2 linked regions of the Rhinolophus ferrumequinum genome follow. The protein of the gene in region 2 purifies or fractionates together with the protein of the main gene of each other region. This does not show direct contact. Links are inferred from orthologs where the notes say so. Each region holds a gene or a part of one and is shown on either strand. Other genes may lie near its edges.

The links. The genes of interacting proteins can lie anywhere in the genome.
Region 1: the proteins of CRY1 (region 2) and FBXL3 purify together in Homo sapiens (affinity purification with mass spectrometry; 4 studies listed by BioGRID and IntAct, counting the BioPlex papers as one, with this or other methods). This does not show direct contact. The link is inferred for Rhinolophus ferrumequinum from reciprocal best matches to the Homo sapiens genes CRY1 and FBXL3.

Annotation. Positions count from the first base shown.
Region 1 is NC_046287.1:27,890,855-27,898,677, forward strand, and holds the start of FBXL3 (F-box/LRR-repeat protein 3), read right to left. Parts: upstream 3,064-7,823; 5' UTR 2,996-3,063; coding exon 2,961-2,995; intron 1-2,960. UniProt on the Homo sapiens protein: Substrate-recognition component of the SCF(FBXL3) E3 ubiquitin ligase complex involved in circadian rhythm function. Plays a key role in the maintenance of both the speed and the robustness of the circadian clock oscillation.
Region 2 is NC_046293.1:13,616,949-13,624,096, reverse strand, and holds the start of CRY1 (cryptochrome-1), read right to left. Parts: upstream 3,047-7,148; 5' UTR 2,429-3,046; coding exon 2,271-2,428; intron 1-2,270.

The DNA of each region.
Region 1 (7,823 bases), on a different chromosome or scaffold from region 2:
GTTTGAATCCTGGCTCTACCTCACTTGTTATGTGGCCGTGAACAAAATTACTTGACCTTTCTGTGTTTCAGTTTATAAAATGAAAATAACACACAGAGTTCTTGAAGGAATTTAGTAAAAAGCACTAGGGCTTCTGAAACGAGATAGGTGACTGTTGAACTCAGGTACAGTAATGCAGTCCAACTCAGGTATAGGAAAGCAGTCCAGTATTAAAGACATTAAAGTGCACAACACAGTAAAAGTAGGGAAAATGATCCTATTTCTGTTTTAAAATGAAGTGTGTGTGAGAGAGGGCAAGAATAGAAGAAGTTTACATATGAGAAATACACATTGGAAGTAAATTCACCACATTAATTATAGTAACTATAACAGTTAATTGGATCATACTATATTAATAGTGCGATTACAGGTAAATTTTTTTTTTTGCCAATATGACTCTCTATATTTTATGTATTTCTTTTAATGTCAATGAATTAACGTTGTAATCAGGTAAAAAGGTAAATCAGATAAAATTGTTTTGGCTTGTTACTTAGAAAAATAAGTATCGCAGGCTCTAAACTAAGTGGGGACCACTAAGTAGTACCTCTATTTAGTTTAGAGCCTGCAATACTTTTGTCTCTAGAGAGCAGTTCTAGCAAGGTGGTGGTTTGGATTTGGAGTCATAGTAGCTTTTGAAAAGGATAGCTTGTGGCTCCAACTCTCTTCTTCTGGCACATCAGCAGACAAGAATTTCTGATTCCAGTGTGGGACAATGGATGTGCGTATGTATGAATAAGTCTTTGCAGATTCTGTACCTAGTAGCTAGCAAAATTTGTGAAAAAGGATTGGGGGCTGGAGGGAAACAATGGCAGAGACCCCTGCTCTTCATGCCATTAAAATCAGCTCAGGAGGTCTTAGCACATGTGCAATAAACTGCCTTTTCCTCATTGCTCTACTTAAGTGAAGTAAATGGTGTATATCCTATTGAAATAGCAGGGGGAAAGAAAGGGAGAAAACAATGAGAGGTGGTGGCAAGAGGGTAGTTTCACGGAAGACTAAAATTTACGTGTGAATCTAAGAACGCTTTTCTAAATATACGTTTAGAAACGAGTAGTATAATCTACAATGTAATCTTAATTTAAAAATACCTCTCACAGTAATAATGTCCAACTAGAGGTTGAAATAACACTGTCATTATGACCTGTTTTTCTTTCACTTATTCTGAAGGCTTACTTTAATTTTAGCGTACAAAATTTGGGTCAAAGAACAAAGAGTTTGCTACCTCGGGCTTATAATTTCTCTTCTGAATATCTAAACCTCTTCAGAATTTTGAGATAACAGAGATTGGAAAAAAGAATGAAGCCATCTTTATAACTTCTACTCCTCATTACAGAATGCTGATCTCCTCTTTCTGGAGAAGTCGTCTAAACCCAGAACTATCCAACTTAAAGATGAGATGATTCATCTTACTTTAGAATATATGGACATATAAATGAAAATAAAATGACAGTCTTATTTACACAATTATCTTTACTAATACTTTGCTGATCCTAATAGATACTTTCTTTTATCTATTACCACCCTGTTTTAAATAAAGTATATTTCAGTACCTTTCCAAGTTGAGGGGAGAAAAAAGTTGACATATTAAAAAGAAGTATGCAACACTTCATCTAGATATAAGATTATGTGATCACCAAAGTGTATTTTAGGCACTTACTACTTTATAAATAGCAGAACAAAGTGTGTAAATTACCATGTATATGATATGATTATAATTTTTCAGGATTCTAGTCCATTAAGCAATAGAAAAAACTCTAAGCCCAAATACCAATAAAAATGGTCTCTGTATTATCCTCATTTGTGCATGAAAAAAGAGATCACCCAGTGGGCATCTAATAAAAATTATAAATGTCAATTTTTCCAAGATGATCTCATTTATCCATGCAAAAATTTACATGGCTTTCAAAAGTATTTTATTAAATCTATTTATACATGAAGTCCTTCTGTAGAGAAAGTTAAACAATTCAAAGCACCCACCAGTCTGCCAAGAATTTACATCAATGGATTATCTCCGCCTTTTCATCAAAATGACACATCTATTATATTTTAACAGGACTGAAAGAAAAGGAAGCTGGACAATCAATGTCAAAGTGACTTTGTAGAGCATCAAAACCAGGCAGGCCTCCTCAGGGCTCCAGCAATTCAATTTCAAAATGCAACTTTTCCGGGCTCTAAATAATTGATGCAACTTGGGCCAGCAGAGCATTTGGTGAGGGACTGATATAACCACTATGAAACTAATGAGGAAAAACTGCAGATTCATTGAGCAGCGCAGGGAGTTACTGAACTAACTCATTATTTCCACATACTCTGAAAGGAGCAGTCACACTTGTGTCAGATGAAGGGCACAAGAGACCACTTAGCCGTGCGTCCCTCACTGTATCAGGCACTCTTAGTACACTGGGCTTGTGGTAATTTTAAAAGCCCATTTATACTTAGCTCTCAAAAGCCTGCTTTGGCCTCGTATTTCCTTTCCATTTATGTTCTGCTTTGACTAATACCAAAATTAACACGCATTCTTTGGCTGGCATACAAAAATAAAGCCACGGAAAGAGATTAACTCTCAGAACTAGAAGGTAGGGAAAATGCACTGGTGAAAATCTGTCTAGTGGTCATTTGTAGATAACTGGCAGTCAATGGCATTTTTATAAATATTTCAGGAACGATAGAAAATAAAAGCCTAATTAAAATATCTGGGCCACTGGGTATCATCAGCAACAAGATAACACATACAGTAGTAATCTCACTTCTTAGCTCAGAGATGCAGGCCCATCATCTGATAGGCTGTTGCCTGATCCCTGTCTGCAGCGCCACCTGAAGCAGCTGCTCATCACAAGTTGACCAAGTTTTCCACTTGGCCGCGCGCCCCGGGCATGTCCTCCTCCCTGCGCCACCTCCCTGACTTATCTCGCGCGCCCTACCTGGACCGTCTGTTTTGACATTTAATGCCCCTCATTTCTCCAGCGATTAGGCACGGGCGTGGCCCCGACCCAGCGCGAGCTCAAAGGTGCCTGTCATCAACCCCTGCCAAGAAGAAGAATGCCAGGCTACAGCCGCGGCGCAGCGGGGCCGCGGGGAGGCTGCACGCGCCGCCGCGCACGCACCACGCCTTGTTGACATGTTTAGAAGCGGGCGAGCGGGGAAACGCCCCCAAGCAGGCTCCAAGGTCTGAGCGCGGCGCCCCGCCCCGCCCCGCGCTCGCGAGGGGCGGCCCACGCGCGCCCGGAACCGCGCGCCCCCGGGCCCCCCCTGCAGTCCACCAATGTCGGCCGACCCTCCCCAGTCCCGCCGTCACAGCGGGGCTCCGGCACTAACCCTCCGCCGTTACCTGCTGCCGGCGGCGGCTTCCCCCACACACCACCCCGGGCTCCGGGGATGGCGGCGGCTGGCTCCGCGGCTCTCACATGAGGCCCCCCGGGCCCCGCGCTTCGGGTTCCCGCCGCCGCGGCCCCCCGCGCTCCGCCCGCATCCGAGACGCTGGTCCCGCGGAGGGCACCAATGCGGATCCACCTTTGCGGCTCTGGCTGCCCAGAGAGAAGCCTTCCTTCCCAGTCCCGCGCCGTCCGCGTCCTGCCCCCGAGACCACTCGTCGCGGTGAAAAACTCAGCGAGCTCCCGCCGCCGCGGAGACCCTCGGCACCTCGGCCCGGACACCGACTCCAAAATGGCGCCCGGGGCTCGCGGCCGCGCGCTTTCCCTGGCGCGTCTCCGCCCGAAGGGGGCGCGTGTCCGCAGTGGCGCGCGCGCACGCGCGGCGGGCGCGAGTGGGCCGCGCCCACGCAGGAGCGCGCACTGCCCGGCGCAGCTGGGGGGCTTCCGCCTCCAGGTTCCACGTGACTGCTGCTTTTAGGAGATTTTTGGTTTTGGTGCCAGAGTGGGAGGGCTGGAGCTAAGGAGATGTCTAAGAGACTATCTGTGGTTGGAACTAGGAAGTTGAAGGAGGTGGCGCAGAATGAGGAAAGGAGGGAGTGTCTGGAGCCTGCAGGAGCCCAGCTGCCGGTCGTGGGGCAGGAGGATAAACAGGAGCTGTGAGCCCCTGACACCCCTCCGCGGCCGGGCGCGGCCTCGGACGGCCACTCCTGCGCCGCGGAGCCCGAGAGGTTAAAATACAAGCTCTGAAACTATGCACACTTCATACACCGGTCTACATAAGGTGTTTTTACAAACTGCAAGGATGTATACCAGCATGGTGACAGTGTTGACGCTGGGAGTATAGATGATTTTTATATTCAAAATATATTTTTCAATTTTTCTAAAAACGATTTTTATCATCAGAGTTAATGCTTTTTAAAAACCTCCTTTATAAAATAGACTCCTGAAGTCTGTAAATAGCTTTCTGAAACACAATAAGGAAAATGTAAGGGAATAGTTATTTAAAACCTCTGCTGAACCCTTTTGTAAATCGACGTATCTTTGTTCCTGATACCTAGTTAACTTGTTTTAAACGTTTGGATTTTTGGATTGTGGGTTTTCTTAAAAAGTTAGATTGTCCTTAGGTGCAAAATCATAACTTGAGTCATACACCACTCCTCCTGCCTGCCTCAAAAATAAAAAGAAAGTAATTTTCCATCCAAAGATGGCTTTTCAAGGATTTGACCCATGTGTAGGAGACTGGAAGGGAGTGATGCTGCACTCTTCCAGGTCACACCCCTCCAAACCCCCAAATTGAGCTAGGAAGCCATGTGTAAAATTATATTTGGACTCACTTGGAAAAACGCCAGTGTTTTCTGTTAGGACCTGACAGTTGAATCATCAAGTCAAACTGAACAAAGTCTCTAATAACATATTGTGGTTGTACCTGAACTGCAACATTTTTTTAGGTCCCTGAGTGACTGAATGATGAAGCAGGTTTTTAGACAGGTAATGGTAATTACTAGAGGAAGAAAAACAGATACAGGCCCATTTATTTAAAGCTAGGTCAACATTATAAATGATCAGCAAACCACATTAAATCAGCAAACATAATGAGTATATATTATTACCACATTCAGACTGTCACACTCCAATTGTACTCCTTTTTAAATTCCTCATTACAGGCTATCTTCTCCCTGAAGGATCTTGGTTCAATTTACCTGTCAAATTCTCCCTCTTCATCCCTATTATTATGAAAATGTTTTATTTTTTATTTTTTTAAAAGAGACGTATTTATTTTTGAATCAGTCAATACTTATTTACATTTATCAGTTGTGGTGAAGAGGAAGGGTGGCAGCGGAGTAGTTGGGTCCAACAGAGAAGAATATTTTATTACTGACCCTGTTTAGAATTGTCACTGCATGTGATTAAAAAAAAAGAAAAAAGAAAACCAGCTTTATTAGTCAGCTTTATTAATCCCTTCCTTGGATGCTTGGACTTATAACAAACAACCCTAGGAACTATAGATGGTCATTTCCTACCACTTGGTCTGGAAATCAGAAAAAGGTGCTCTGTGGTGAGAAAAAGGAAAAGCAAAAGAGATGCAAGAGGACCTAGAGGGAGCCAGGGAGCCAGAGTCTCCAGCCCTGGTTCTAACTCTGTTTCCAAGGCCTGGAGGTATCACAGTGATTTCGTTTTTTTCTTACTGGCTAACGTTATTTTGAATTTGTTTTCTTTTGCTTGCTACCAAAACTCCTTACCAGTGCAAACTTGATCTGGAAAGGTTCTTCCTTGGGTGTCAAATGACTTTTCCTTCTAACTGAAAGGCAGTCATGCAATTTGGTGTCACCGTGTCCTGTTTCTGGGAGTGAGTTGGGTGTGGCATCTTCTCCATAGCTGCCATTCACCAAGGACACTTCTGCCTAGTAACATAGGGGTGATGGTCCCTGGGGCTGGCTGGTCTTGGATGGAGCCCCAGGAAAATGGGCTTACACCTGCCCCTTTTTGATGGATTTCCTGCCTCCAAATTGACATGACCAACCACTGGCCTTACTATAAGAAAGAGGTATGAAATTCTTTCCTGAGGGGCAGGTAGATCTCTGAAGCGCAGTTGAGTGGGGGAGGAACAGAGCTTTTAATTCTGCCTTAGTTATTCCTTTGATTCATAGAAATGGAGGGTCTTTGAGATTAGAATGTCCTTTCCCACTCTTTTGCTTTCTCTCTCCCCAATTCCTCTCCTTTTTTCTGAAGCTCTCTTCTCTCAGTTCCCCCCTGTGTGGTGTTTCCCAACAGGAGGAGAAGTTCTTGTCTCCTCCATTCCCTTCTTGGATCTTGCAAACTTGAGAGCCCCGTCTCCACTGCTTAGTCAAAACTGCTCCAGATCGGAATGGAGATGTGGGTTGGGCCGTAGCTGGGGTTTTGATCCTAGTTCTGCCTTTACTGGATATGCGAGCTTGGACAAGTTACCACTTAACTTCTTTGTGCTTCAGTTTCCTCATCTGCCAAATGGGAATGATAATAACAAGTCTACCACAGAGAGTTGTCCTGAGCATTAAATGAGTTAACACATATAAAGCACAGGCACAGGCATAGTAAATGCTAGCTACGTTACTGTTGTTATTACTATTGGCTCTAGCTCCACCAGTGAGAACACTCACTCCAACTTGGCGTCTTGCCTCAGCAAGCCCACATCTCCCGTTAGTTATTCCAGCATATACCTCCCTCTTTCGCAAATTAGCCTACCCAAACCATTTCATTTCGTGCCATTTCTCTGGATTTTAACCCTACCTGGGATTAGACTGTAAACTCCTCAAAGGAGAGAAGTGTGTTTTGAGACTGATGTGAATCTTTATCAACTCTTCCCAAGACCACACTTAAAACTTTCCAGCTGGTCAGCAAACCAGGGACAGTGTTTTTCAAGCCACCTTCTAACCTGCTTCCTGCATTATGTTCCCTAAAGCACATGTCTCTTGCTCAAAAAAGTCCAAAGATGGGTGATAAATTCCAAACCTTTGAGAATGAGATTCTAGGCCAGCACTATTCATTAGAATTATATGCAAGCCACAGACATTATTTAAAATGTTCTAGAAGTCAGTTTTTTAAAGAAGCAACAAATAGGTGAAATTAATTTTAATATTTAATTTAAATATATACTCAATATATCCAAAATATCATTTCACTATGTAAGTAATTAAAACAATTTTTGAGATATTTTAAACTTCTTGTCTTTTTTACTCTCTGCAAAACCTTGGGCTAGTTATTTAACCTCTGTGAAATTCAGTTGCTTCATCTGCAGAAGGAAAATAATAGTTCATAGGTTTATAGAAGATGAAAATGTGATAATGCATGTGAAGCCCATTGTATTTGTTTCCTGTTGCTACTGTAACAAATCATCACAGACTCGGTGGCCTAAAACCACACAGATTTCGTATTGTACAGTTCTGAAGGTCCAAAGTCCAATGTGGGCTAAACACAAGGTGTTTGACTTTGCGTACTTTTCCATATTAGGACCCTTGTGATTACATTGAGGTTATTGTGTTAATGCAGGAAAATCTCCCCGTCTCAAGGTCTGCACCCTCGATCACATCAGCGAAGTCCTGTTTGGCATGTAAGGCAACATACATCTCCTGGGATTAGGACATGGGTGTGTTTGAGGCCCGCTATTCTGCCGGCCACACCGATGCATCAGCACAGTGTGGGCCACCGTCAGCCTCAACAAATGGTATCTTTTATTATTGGGAAACGTTGACTATAGTTCTTAACTTCATATTCTTTACATTTCTGTCTTTGTGTTCTGTGAGGGTCACATCCCGAGCACCTGACAGTGCACTGCACATATTTACGCGCTAACTCATAGAGTTCATTCGTCAAGTCCCTTCTGTGTGTAAGTCGTGGTTACTGAGCAACTGGGTATATAGTTCCCACTTTCTGAGC
Region 2 (7,148 bases):
TTTTATCAGTAGTCTCCCAACCTTTCTCCTGTCAGCTTCTCTTGAGCTATCCAAAAAGGCTTTTGCCTCTGACACTACTGAAACCACTCTATCAAGATTATGAATAACCTCAAAGTGCTAAATACAATTTTTAACTTTTAGTCTTCATCTCACTTGACCTATCAGCAGCACCTGATGTCCGTAAAACATTTTTGAAATACTTTCCTTACTTGGTCTATAAGACACTACACTCTTCTGGGTTTTCTTCTTACCTTACTAGATGTTCTTTTCAATCTCCTATGCTGGTTCTTCCATAGCTCCACAATTTCTACACACTAGAGCACCCAAGGCTCAGTCCTTGCACCTCCTCTCTTTTCTATCTACACAAACTTTCTTAATGTTCTCATATAGTTTCATGACTCCTCTAGAATGTAGCTTCAACAGGTAGGGGTTTTTGTTTTGTTTTGTTTTTTAGCTATTTTGTTTATGCTGAATCCCCTGCACCTAAAACAGTGCCTGCCATGCATTGGGTGTATGACAAATATATGGATGAATAGCTTTAAATATTATCTACAAATTGATGACTCACCGATTTATACCTCCTGCCTGGATCTCTGCCCTGAACTCCAACAACCGATTTGCTATCTCCACTAGGATGTGTAATAAACATCTCAAACTTAACCAAGTTCAAAAGAGAACTCCACTACCCTCCCCCAATGATTTCTCTGACTGACGTCACGTTCTTAGCAAAGTGCAGCTCCATCCTTCTAGTTCCTTAAGCCAAAAATTCTGAAATCATTCCTAATTCCTCTCTTTCTCTCACACCACATGTCCAATCTGCCAACAAATACTGTGGATTCTGTCTTCAAAATATATTCAGCACTTTTTGGCTACTTCTCACTAAGTCCACCACCAACCATCACTATGTCCAAGCCATTACTACTTCCCACCTGGGTGAATGCCACAGCCTCCTAACTGGTCTTCCTGCCTCTTATCCTCCTGCACCCCTCCAATTCAGTCTGTTCTCACAGCCAGAGAAATTTTTTTCAAACTTAAGTCAGAGCATGTCACATCTCTGCTCATAATCCTGCAATTATTCCCACTTTGCTCTGAGTACAAGCCCAAATCTTAATAATTGCCTAGAATGCTCTACTCAATCTAGCCCTATTTCATCTCTGACCTCATCTACTTCTTTTCCTCCACTTCTGCTCCTCATATTCGTTTCTCCTGCTGTTTCTTCCAAAGGTGAAGCACATTTCCACCTCAGGGCCCTTTCTCTTATGCTCCTGCTGCCTGGAATGCTTTTCCCCTAGACATCCACAATCCGTATTTGCTTCATCACCTTGTTCAACTGCCACTTCTCTCTGAGTTTTTCCCAATCACCACACTTAAAATTACAACTCTAATCCCAACTCCTTGTATTCTTCCCCTTTCTGTTTCGTATTTCTTCATCCCCCTTCTGCTTCGTATTTCTCCATAGCATTTATCACCACCAAATACTGCATATCTTACTTTCTAGGACACCTGCTTACAAAGGACACGAATCGTAGTCGGTTTTATTCACTGCTAGTATATCCCCTGGAGTTTAAAGCAACGCCTGGTATGCAGTAGAATGCTATCATTTCCACCAGGGGGCCTAACAATCAACTAGCCTGGTATTTCAGGAAAAAAACATCAAGCTTCTCTACTATTTCTTCCACTACTCTGATCCCTAGAAGGATTATACTTTGCCTAGAAAGAAAAACGGTGCTTTGTCCAGTCAACCACAAGGAGGAGTTGAGAGGCAGAGCTGAGCAAAGAGAAACCAGATGTTTCCCTTGCTTTTCCTCCCGCAACCTCAAGGTGGAAGAAAACGGGATTGGGAGGCGACGGTACTGAATGAATGATGTTCTCCATACTACGATTTACCGAGACCCACACACACATACACATTAAAAAACACAATCCTTTCCGATGCCACAAGGAGGCCAAAGAAATCAACCCACGGGCCCCTGAAAAAGAGGAGGGTGTTTCTTTAACTCCACCGCGAAGAACTCCCCACAAATCCGGGAAGAGAGTTCCCATTAACGCAGACACGACATTCACGGCGGAGGCCAAGGCGTTCCCGGTGGCCAGCACTCCCTCGCCAGCGAACTATTAAACCCATTCTATTTCATACTTAAAGCGTCTACAACGTTGAAAACGGCACAAGCAAGGCGGTCCCAGGTTTAAGTTCTCCGACTGGGCCGATCGCGTGTCAAGTCCCGATTCCTGAAACACCGAAATCAATTTCCCCCGGGATTCTGACTCACCGCCACCTGTTGATGCCCACATTGGAGGAGCCGGCGAACCAGGGGTCGAGGATGTAGACGCAGCGGATGGTGTCGGCACCCTGAATGCACTCCTTCAGGGCGGGGTTGTCGTGAAGCCGGAGCCCCTTTCGGAACCAGTGCACGGCGTTCACCCCCATCCCGGCGGCGCGGCGGGCGGCGGGTCCCCGCCGAGTTCCTCCACGGAGAGAATCAAGGAACGAGGGTCCGGCTCATACCCGACACCTCGGCTTCCAGGAGAATCGCCGCACCCAAGGAGTAAGAACAGGGCGGCCGACGGGGGGAGAGGAAAAAAATGAGTCCGGGGAAGGGACCAGAGAGTGAGAGGGCGCTGGAGGCGCAGCTGGAAGATGAATGGAGGTTAGGTTGCCCAGTCAGCGGAGTCCGGGTGTGACGCCCTTTAGGAGCCGGCGCCCGTCGCAACGGCCTGGACGAGTCGCATAACTTCCAGGGCCTCGGACCCCCAGAGGGTGAGCAAGTTCCAAGGGCTCAAGCCTCCTCCACAACCCGAGCCGGCACCCGCAGCCCCGGGAGGTTCGTCACGGAAACCTCACCTCCCCGAGGCGGCTCCTGAGAAGAAAGCGGCCCGCCCGAGGCAAGCCACCGAGAGGGATGAGCGAAGACTCAGCCCCCGTGGGCCACGCTGCCTCTCCGCCCAGAGACGCGAGTGAGGACGGAGCGCGAAGCACGGAGGCGGTGGTCCAGGCCGCTGGACGGTTGCCCGCCGGTGACGGGTCCCGAGGCGGCCCGGGTGACTCCGCCGACACCACCGCGTCAGAGGCCCCGGCCCCGCCCCCGGCTCCTCATTGGAGGGCGCGCTGGCCACGTGACCACCGGCACATCACGTTTCTGAAATGTGTTTACTACAGCGGCTCTGACTAAGGAATGTGCTCGCGCTTCAGTTGCTTCTAGGGGCCGACAGCCTTTGGGTCTCAAAACCGTCGATCCTCGCCCAGCCACTGGGCTCTCGGTCTCTGCCCCTTTTCTCGGCGGACTGATCGCGGCTGCCTGGATGCCCCCGCGGCGATCACAGGCCCCACGTGAAGGAAGGCTTAGCTCCACCTTTGGGGGCCGCGAGCGTCCACCATTGGCTGAGGCTTGCTGAGACCCGGATGAGCACGGGGATGCGGGGAGCTCGCGGGCGCGCGCTTGGCTCTGGAAGGGGCGCGTGCGCTCTTGCTGCGTTCCAGGGGTCAGTAGGGCGGGGCAGGCGAGCGGGAGCGCGCTCAGGGATTCCGCTGTGGGTCCCCGGAAGGCCTGAAGACGCACTGGTACCCATCCAGAGTCAGCGATGGCTCCCCGCGGGGAATGAGGGCACGGTAGAGTGGGAGAAGGAGAGTTGGAGGATCCACGTCGACTTTGATCCCAAATCATCTGCTTCAGTCGAGCTTTGTGCAGAGAACCCTACTTTGGCATGTGTGGAGCTGGCGCCCTTACCAGTCTTCTGGACCTCCACGCTGTACCCTTGGACTTGGTCTGGGGAAGAGGAGTAATTGGCAGGGCGAGTGCCAAGCACTCCTAGACTGATTGTATTTTTTTAATACTAGAGCTGTAACATCAGTATGTCAGCCCTAGTCTCTTACATTTAGTGTGGTTTACAGGGCTCTTTGCCCACCTTTCCAACGACAGTGAACTGCAAGCCATTCCTTATTCGTATGATGCCCTTATATTCATTCAACAACCAGGCACTCTTCAAAGTGCTGTAGATACAGGAGAGAAGAAAATAGGCTAAAATCCCACCCCTCTGTAGAGTGTACAAGCTGTATGTCAACCTTTACATGTGCTATCTTTTCCTCTATAAAATGCTTTTCTTTGGAATCTGCTGCTCCCTACAACCACCTTTACCCTACCTAGTATATTTCTGCACATTCCTTTAGACTCAGATGAAATGCTACCTAATTTCTGAAAACAATCCTTTCCCCAGAGCGGATTAGGACCTCACCAAATCCCTCAGGCCTGTCTCTGATACATCACTTATTGTAAAGATTGAATGAAAAGTGCCTATTTGAACACCAAGTACGAAGTAGGTGCTCAATAATTGTACTTATTATCATGTGTCTCTGCTTCCCTCTGAAGTGTGACTTCTCAAAGACAGGCTCCATCCATTTCTCTTTTTTTTTTGCGTTATCAATACCCAGTACAGAACCTGACATATATGCATTCAAATGTTCATTGAATGAATGAATTAATGAATGCTGCTTGCCACCTGTGTGTTTGGCAAGGTTAAAAGGAGAAAAGATATGGCAATTGCTACTGGTTGAATTGTGTCCCTCTACAATTTACATAACCCCTGTGAATGTGATCTTATTTGGATATAAGGTCAAGTTAAGATTAGGTCATTAGTATGGGCTCTAGTCTAATATGACTGATGTCCTATAAAAAGGGGAAATTTAGACACAGACCCACACATAAGGAGGTTGCTATGTGAAGATTGGAGTTATGCTGCCACACACAAGGAACTATGTACTCGAAGCTCAGAGAGCAGCCTGGAACAAATCCTTCCCTAGAGCCATTAGCAGGAGTACAGCCCTGCCAACACTTTGATGTCAGACTTCTGGTCTCCAGAACTGCGAGACAATAAATGCCTGCTGCTTTAAGCCACTCATTTTGTGTTGTGTTACAGCAGCACTAGCAAACTAGTAACAGTAATAGAGATTCAATTATCTAGTGAGCCAATATATCTGGATAGTATTCCCCATCCTTGCCTCTGTTGCATATAGCATCCTTTCTTTGGTTTCTTAAAAACAGTTAAATTGTTATATGTGAAAACCCTTTGTTCACTATAAAGTATTAAACAAATAGTTATTTTTATCAATGGGGATGATTCTTGGGTAATTACCACTCTGAGGGATCCATCACCTACGCAGAGGATGTGGCGTATAGAGCTGTGCCCTCTCCTGGATTGCCTCATACTCCAGGGCCTGTTGTACTTTTAAAAATACAATTTCATGTTTCATTTCAGACAGTTTGAAAGTAAGCAGATTGTGTCTAAAGACATAAGAATTGTTTTCAAGCATCCAAATGAAACAGTGGGCGGTAGAGAAAGAATATTGATTTGTGTAGAGTTGACTTATGTTTGCCGATTGTTCATTTAATAAAGATGGATTTTTTTTAACAGACAGCTGTAGGTGGGTGTATGTGTAATTTTCATTTACACATAAAAGTACTAATTTATTATAAAAGTGTCAGTATTGTCAACTCCATTCCACAAAAACGAGGATATTTATGGCATGAAAACAGTTACTTTAATATATCTGTTATTGGGGGGAGTAACCACTTAATAATAGTTATGGCTTATTGAGCACCTACTGTGTGCCAGGCACTTTATATAGGTTATTATTACCCTCACAATAATATTTTGAGGCAGCTCATTATTATTTAATAATAATTTATACCTATGTCGCTGAAGACACTAAAGCTCAGAAATACAAACAAGTAATAAAACTAGATTAAAAACCAAGACTGTTTCTTTTTTTGTTTTTCTTTTTTAATTAATTTATTTATTTATTTATTCATTTTTAATTGGGAATATTTTGGGAACAGTGTGTTTTTCCAGGACTCATCAGCTCCAAGTCAAGTCATTGTTTTCAATCTAGTTGTGGAGGGCGCAGCTCAATGGTTCATGTGGGAATCGAACTGGGGATGTCGGTGTTATGAGCACTGCGCTCTAACCGACTGAGCAAACCGGCTGCCCCCCACGACTATTTCTGAATCCAAGCTCTTTCTTTATGATATACTACCCTCATTGACACCACCACTCCCCTTCATTTTCAGAATGAGTATTTGTATTTAAAAGGGGAAAGAGAGATGGGGAGCATTTCAGGAATCTTGTGGAATTCTGCTGGGCTCCAACATCATGGCGGTAGAAAGAGAATAGGACTGGGTTCTATTTCAGCTCACCATTAATTAGTTGACTCCAACAAGTCACTTAGACTTTCTTGATCTGATTAATTCATCTATAAAATGAAGAGATTGAAGTAGATGACTTTTAAGTTTTCTATGCTATTTTAAAATTCTAGGATTCTGTCAACACAACCCTGCCATGGGCTCAAAAATATCTAAGAGTTCTGTTAAACATTTTTTAACTGCCACCAATGTTAGAAAAATCGATATCTCTTTGATTTCATAAGCACCCTTGATAAAAGTATGTCAGCCTCTAAACTGAAAGCCTGTGTTCTCTCTTGACCCCATCTTACAGAGGTGATTTTTTTGGCATGCGTTATCAGCACACAAATAATGAAGGAGTAGACAGTGTGATCAGCTCATTCAGTCTTGATGTGATGTGAATGTTAGTGATGTAGAATATTTTCTTTGTGCCGGGATCGTGTCTCATGAAACCGAAGAATGGAAGCACGGACCAAGGAGAGGTGAGGAGTTGTGAAAAAGGATAGTTTATTAAAAGTAAAGAGTAAAGAGTTGCAGCTCTCAGAACGAGAGGGGGTCCCGACCAGGGTGCTCAGTGACTAAAGCAAAAGCTCTTACTTTTATACCTTCCCGTGCCAGTTTGGAGAAGGGAGCTGGGGCCTTATAATGGAATTCATCTATCAGGTTTGTCCTGTTTGCCCACCCTAAAGGGATTAATGAACCCATTCCTATGTATCAGATTTGTTCCTTTTGTCCAGCCAAAAGGAATTTATGAGATAATTTATTAACCTCAAGGCGCATTCTTATATCTGTGTCCTGGAGTGAAGGATATGGCTGCCTTTTGTTTATTCCACCAGGGACCTTCCTGTCTACCTAACAACATGCTAGCTAATCTGTCTCATTAGGCTGGTAGCCCTTGGCTGAGGGATTCCCAACACTAGAGTTGTTGGGGGATTGAATTTAAATGTGTTAAAGGATCACTTTTTTTTTAAAGGT